Linked DNA regions of Bombyx mori. The protein of the gene in region 1 purifies or fractionates together with the protein of each later gene. This does not show direct contact. Links are inferred from orthologs where the notes say so. Each region holds a gene or a part of one and is shown on either strand. Other genes may lie near its edges.

What was found. The genes of interacting proteins can lie anywhere in the genome.
Region 2: the proteins of ras GTPase-activating protein-binding protein 2 (region 1) and glycosyl-phosphatidyl-inositol-anchored protein purify together in Homo sapiens (affinity purification with mass spectrometry; 5 studies listed by BioGRID and IntAct, with this or other methods). This does not show direct contact. The link is inferred for Bombyx mori from reciprocal best matches to the Homo sapiens genes G3BP2 and CAPRIN1.

What each region holds. Positions count from the first base shown.
Region 1 is NC_085112.1:761,785-764,955, forward strand, and holds part of ras GTPase-activating protein-binding protein 2, read left to right. Parts: intron 1-1,106; coding exon 1,107-1,229; intron 1,230-1,381; coding exon 1,382-1,893; 3' UTR 1,894-3,171.
Region 2 is NC_085119.1:10,436,775-10,441,006, forward strand, and holds the start of glycosyl-phosphatidyl-inositol-anchored protein, read right to left. Parts: upstream 2,897-4,232; 5' UTR 2,798-2,896; coding exon 2,678-2,797; intron 740-2,677; coding exon 557-739; intron 347-556; coding exon 180-346; intron 1-179. UniProt on the Homo sapiens protein: mRNA-binding protein that acts as a regulator of mRNAs transport, translation and/or stability, and which is involved in neurogenesis, synaptic plasticity in neurons and cell proliferation and migration in multiple cell types.

The DNA.
Region 1 (3,171 bases):
TACAAGCATACGGACCACCTGATAGTGAGTGGTTACTGTCGCTCATGGACGTCAGTAATGACAGGGGCAGAGACAAGCCGCTGCCTACCATTAACTACTCTCCATAAACTTCGTTTGAAGACACTATAGTGCCATATAGTATAGCAGCGTATACTTAGCCAATAATATATAGTACAGTACAGTGTAAACGTGTCCATAACAATGTATGGTGCGAAATATTGTTGTGCTATGAGCTATACTACTATAAACTATATGCTATTATATTATAGCGTAGTCTGAAAGCTGCTTTACCATCACAATGTAGAGTTGTGATTGTGGTGCATAAAATAAAACTGTTCCACTGTTGTTCTTTAATTGTTCTCTCCGAAATATTCTCTGTTATTATAATTGTGGTTTGTTATTTGTCCCTCGCATTCGCAGGATATTTTACTCCCGAACATATAAAAGTCAAACACACCATTTCAACAATATCTATAATGTGTACAATATTAAAATATAAACCAAAAGTAAAGTAAACAACGCTAGGAACTAGAAGTTACAAATTAAAACTAAAATTACGTTTTTACATTCTGATTAAATCGACGCGCGCGAATCTCGTAGCATGACGTCACGGGACACCTGCGCGTTCGGGAACTCCGATCGCATCCGATGACGCCCGAGTGCGACCGAGTGTTGCACGCTACATAATTAAAGATTAACTAACATATTTTTTAAGTCTTGCTAATTTAATCGTCATCGCCATCTTGTCTTACTCTTTTCTTTTTCTTACCGTATTCTCTCACTCACATGTTAACGCTCCGTGCCACACTCATTTTCATGTTTCGTTCTTCTTCATTGTACGATTGACAATAATATTATAAAAAACAAAATTATGATCACGGTCTGAAAATTTTCACCTGTTGTTATGCATCAGCTGCATTGCTGAGACATATAAATAGCTCATCTCCGGTCTCGTGCTAACTTAACGTAGACAACAGCTCAGTCAATCTTTAAATTTAAAATAAAATACGTCAAAGCGTGCCTCGTTGGGTAAGACGTGTTGTGTCGACTGTGTGTTGCTCGAGCTTCTCGTGCTGCACACCTGAGGCATGTCCCGTTGGTTCCAGCCACGACCGCGCCGAGCGAGCCGGAGCCCGAGCGGAGCGCCACCCCGCCCCCCGCCCCCGCGCCGCTCGACGCCGCGCCCGAGCCGGAGCCCGAGCGCGAACCCACTCCGCCGCCACAACCAGGTACGTATACTGTACTTGAAGTGGTACCAATGTTAAACAACCGAACAGGAGCGCTTAACAAAAAAATATGTATATATGTGAATTGAATGCGATAACTTATCGATTCAACAGAAGTTTGACATCCGTAGTAACAAATAATTATTTACTGTTAGCAACCGTCCCTCCGGAACCGAAGACCTACGCGAACCTCCTGAAGTCGGGGTCGAGTCAGGCTCAGCGCGCCATGCCGGCGGTGGTGCCGAGCAGTGCGCCGCCCCGCGCCCCCCGGCCCGCGCCGCCCCCCGGCTTGCCCCCCGCCCCGGAGGCGGCGCGGCGCTACTCGGACGCGCAGCAGCTGTTCCTGGGCAACCTGCCGCCCGGCGCCAGCGAGGACGAGCTGCGCGCGCTGTTCGCGCAGTTCGGGCCCGTCGCCGAGCTGCGCGTGCACGCCAAGAGCGCGCCGCCCGGCCAGCCGCGCCTGCCCAACTACGGCTTCATCACGTACGAGAGCTCGCAGGCCGCCAGCGAGTGCCTGAGCGCGGCGCCGCTGTACTTCCCGCCGGACAGCGCCGACGCCGTCAAGCTCAACGTGGAGGAGAAGAAGGCGCGCGGCCGCGAGCCCCCGCCCCGCGCGCGCCGCCCGCCCTCCTCGGCCCGCGCCCCCCGCCCCGCCTACCGGCGCTAGGCCCCGCCAGCCCCCGCCACCCGCTGCGGACGCGCCCGGTGTACACTCCTGTATGTTACTTATATAACTTGCCTCCCTCACTCACATAAACTATTATACATCTGCCGCAGTTCTATTTTATTTAAAAATCATTACGAAAATTAATTACATTCCTCTCCGTTGAAAGTAATGTTAAAAATTGTATCCCTGTTCACGGTGACGAAGTTCTATGTAATACTCGCCACCAGTAACACTGATCGCATTAAATTCACAAATTTATTCATTTGTAGTTTAAAATTATGAGATAAAAAAGATCTCAGATTGACTTTTTTAACTGCAGACCATAGTTAATTGTTTAGCTGTACGAGGACCGCTCGCCTCGCCGCGCTGATCTGTTGGACTGAACTGTTCATTAAAGATAGATAAAGGAGTTCTGCTTTTGCATTCCACACGAAATGAATTGTAATCCAGTCACACATACAGTTGGTGCCACAATACAATTTCCTTTCTGCAACAGATGAATTAGCTTTTCGTTAGTACGGCAATCTGACAATGGCATTAGCGTAGTCAATGTTAAAAGACTGCCGGCCGGGGAGCCACGCTAGTACGTACAGAAGACCAGGTCTTTTCACAAATTGTAATGTCCGCAGCGGTACTTAATTTCTAATACATTTTTATTTTTACATTAACAACGCTTCGCAATTCGCTTAACATGAATATTTCGTTTAAGTAGTTAGATAGTAAATTAATTTCTTATTTTAATAATTAATTAATAGTAACGGAATTCCGGTGGTGTGACCAATTTGCAAAAAAAAAACAAATTATAGAAGTTGATTAAAATTCTAAACGTTTCTACTGTAGGTACAACGATTTACTGATATGATTTAGTCGTTAACAAAACGTTTTGAAGAATGTACACATTTATGATTTACGAAATTTCGTAAACTGGTCACACCGACGACAATTCGCACTTATCGATTTCTAATTTCCAAGCCTAATAAGGACGGTTGGTTGTAATTAAAAAGAAACATAAATATAGTTTGTTCATATCACTATAGTTTGATTCGTAGTTGGAATTTGTGATATCGTTTGTCTGGTAAATCCTCGAGCACCGCGCAGTGCCCGGGGTGCTCCCTGGCGTCCGGGGCTCCGTGGCGAGTGCGACATGAAGTTCGAGAATATTCTTCCAGTGTCCAAACGTGTCGTGGCCAATGTTACCAATTAAACCGTCGATAATATATATAACAAAAAAATCTATATATGTATTCAAAACAACCCATCGTTCTTCAGCGAGAATAA
Region 2 (4,232 bases), on another chromosome or scaffold:
TTAAATTGAACACACAATCATCTGCTTTTAAATAAATAAAAATTATGAAAGTCAGTTCACCTAGAAAAAAATTTGAAGTAACACATGAAAAAATGGTCCAATTGAGAATCTCCTTTTTTTTGAAGTCAGTTAAGTAAATCTGTAAAACAACAATATTTAGAACTAAGAATTGTACTCACAAATCATCCAAAATTTTTAAATCATCCTCAGTTAATTTAGCAGCACCATTTGTTCCATTTATGAAATCAGTCCTTGCATCTGCACTACCCATTTGCATAAGGCAATCCAGAATAAGTAAAACTTCTTTTATTTTGTTGGTCTCTGCTGCATAACGAACCCAGGCTTCCTAAATTTAAAACAGAACTGTTAAAAACTTTCAAGAAGAACGATTATGCTTTTAAATGAGGTTGGAATAAAAAAAATGTCTTTTGGAATATGATATTTGATGGTAGTAAAACGAATCCTCTCTCTCTTATGTATAGTTGCTGACTGTAGTACTTTCTTAGAAATAGTTTAGAATGGAGGTTTACAAAAATGAGCAACTTTATGAAGTTACCTTTTTAGCTTGTTTTTTTGCCTCACGCTCTGAAGAGATTGCTATAGCAGTAACTTGCTTTGAGAGATCTCTTGCAAATTCAAGGGTTTGGGCAACTTCATCATATTTAGCAACTGCAACTTTTTGATCAGAATTTAGCTCTTTTCCAGCTTTCTGCAGGTCACGATATGATGTTAGTTTACTCTGAAACAATAAAGTAATTTATTTTTTTCATCAGTGACAATAATGATCATGACATCACATTAGTGATTATAATGGTTGATAGAAAAACTGCTGCTATAATTTTAAAAAATTTAGCTGATTTCAAGTACTTTATGCATTTAATAGAGCATATTATGAGGATAATTTAAAGTACGTAATATATAACTGTAGATCAAACTAATATTTATTCATGTATATATTACAACATATACATTTATCTCTGGTTGCCATGATACAGTGATCCCAATTTGGAGCTACATGACCATGTGTGGTTTGTCCCCTGTTACATATTTATTCATTAACTTTGTAAAAGATTTTGTTCCTTTTTCTGGAAGTCAATTGATGAAATAAAATGTGAGGTACTTAATTACTTTAAATATTGTAAACTGCCCAAAACTGAAATCATAGGATAAATCATTGAGTTCACTGGTGTATATGTATGTCTTGAAAGCTAGTTCTTTCATTGTATTATCAAGTGTTAAGCTTGTAAAAAAAAACTTTGTAAACCCTGATATTTATCTTGAAAATTCTCCAATATTGGTGTACATAAGAAACCAAGAAACAACAATGTTGCTGACTCTTTTAGTTATCATGATAAAAATAATGTATACTTTAACTACAGTGTAGAAAAATTTATGTCTATTGAAGAAAAAAGTTTTCCTTACATATATGGATAGCCCCAAATACTCATTCTCAGTACAGGTAAACTGCCTATAATATGGTAGATGCATTCCTAAAAATTCCCATATTATATGAGATTAGAAGCAAGTACATACAAAAAGGAGAATATTTTTTTCTGAATCAAACATCTCAACTATGCCTGTATGTATTTTATTTTATGTAATATACATAAAAATAAGCAGTAATATTTCAGATTGTGTATTCATAGTGCATAACTTAATTGTCTAAATAATTTTAAACAAAAAATTTGTTATCATGTTGTAGAGATACAGTGTTATAAGGTTACCTGTATTCTTTAACCATTTGTATTTGACTATATTATACTAGATATAGGTTAAGTATAGGTATACATAGTTTTGTTGAATAATTTAACTATAAAATTAACAGGTACCACCAATATTATTGCACTTTGGGTATTCATGAAAGGTATTAACATAATAGGAGTGAACAACTGGATTTATTAAGAATAAGTTACTTAAAATTTTCAGTAATAAATCATCTTTAGCACAACAAAATGAAAAATAATCTTTAGCACAACAAAATGAAAAATACCAAACTAAAGTAATCAAACATTATTTATTGAAAATTCTCTAAAGAAATTTTGGTTTGAATTAAGCTGGACGTATAATTTATTGTTTGGAAGTGATTTTTGCAAATAAAAAAATAAGAAAAGAGAAGTAATAAAACAGACAATATAATATCACAATTTATAGGTGATTTATTATATTAATGTAGTTTGCTGTCATAGCAATAGAAGTCTAGCAATTCTATCCATATCTCATCTACAAAACAGTTTGTCACAGGGCCTAACCTGTAAATTCACTATGGACTCGTTTTAACAACAAAAGATACTACACAAGCTAGAACATATAAACACTAAAATACTTTAGTCCTAAATTAAATTTTTTTTAATAGCAAAGCTAATGTTTTCGCTTTAACATAACTAATTACATTTACTAAAAGAACTACTGAAATAAATATAGAGACAATAAAAAAATTACTCCCAAAAATAACAGGGCGTCATGGTTCTCATCGTCAACTTTGCGAAGCACATGTGTAAAATGGCGTCAAGAGAGTATTTGAATGAATTTAGCAAACAATTAAGGAATAAGCTTATGGAACGAATTTAAATAAAGGTCAAAACACGAAATTAAGGCAAGTTTTAAGAACGATTGAACACTCGACTAACACCGGAACATTAAACATTTTGTTGATATCGTTTACATTGTATTTACTTACCTTGCGTTTTTCCAAATTACGAATTTTATGCTCAATAATCGTCATAATTTGTCGAATTGGTGTATCCTTATCCTCCGAAGAGGCCGGCTTTTCAGATTTTGCATTAGCAGCTGAAGGCATCCTTCACAGGCAACAACTTTTCTTGGATTGCGTCGTGGGTTAGAAGATAGAGATAGAAATTTCTATCTGTCACTCCCAGCAAAAGGACGCAAGTCGTAAGTTTTTTGGAATTTTGCTATATGGCAATACCTACTTTAACCATTCAGCTCAGGATCGTTGAGGTTTTTTGTTTTGATTATTTCGTAAGGCAAAAAAACAATACACCAGTTTGATGTCTTGTTATTTCGGTTTAATAATGAACACACACACGAAATGCGTGTGTCGTTTGTTTAAGAGGGAAAGAGAGAGAAAACGCAAGGAGTAAATTGGTGTGAATTTTTTGGTTTTGTACATTTAGTATTTCCTCAGGGTTAAAAGTCTATTAATGATACCTGTTTAGCATGTGAAAGTGCGCAAGTCAGGCAGAAGTCGGTAGACATGGCTTCTCAAGTACTAGAAAGCCCAGTCAAGTCTCAGCATATTCTTACTATATTACTGTGACATTATTTCTAATCTTCTTAACTCGTTTCTTCTTCTTGTTTTTTAAAGTACTTATGAATTAAGTGTTTATAAAGGTAACAATAGCATCGCAAGAAGAGTCAAAATATTGAAAAAAATAAGAAGTGATTATAATTCCAATATTCCGACTTTTTTATTTAGATCGTTTTTTTCTGTTATTCTCCGAAGAACAAAAATAGCTTCGTACTATTATAGTTACTAATAATTAGGAGGAAATAGATTAAAATTGAAATTAACAACGGCTACTTTTATTTTACACACCACATATTAATTGAATTGCATTAAATCTCATTTTATGCAGACGTTAAAACTAGTACATATTATTAAAACTAAATTTTGTTAATGGTGTTTTGTTTGTTTTACCTATACCTATGCCTAATTTATTATATGGTTGTTTTGTATTGCTGGTTTCCAAATCAATAATGAAATAAATATGTACATGAGTATTTAATTAAAAAGGTCTTAGATAAAGGTTCTTGTTCTTCTCTTTTTTAATATGCCATAGTATGCCAATTGGTTTCTTTCAATGCCATTATTGCCAGCATTATGTCTAAATTCAATATATTAAATGTTTTAAATATTACAAGTAGAACATTTCCCTTCCTTTGAAATATTTGGGCCTATTTGGCGGGAGCGCGAACTGTGTGAATTGTTTTATTTTGTTACTTTAGCATTTCTTCAGGCTTCAACGTGTAACAAATGTAACTGTTTAACATTTGTGAAAATGCACAAATGTGAAAAAATTAAACAAATTCGCGTTCGTAGCTTCTCGGTTCTTACAAAAAGTTAATTAAAAAATCTCATTAAAATAGACTTGGTTTAAAGCTGCAGTTACCAAGCCATAAAATCATTTAAAAAAACAAATTGTTATATTTGTAATCTATGAAGGACTTTTTGGCGGGAACGCGAGGTGTCAAGCTGTGCGATTTGTTCTATT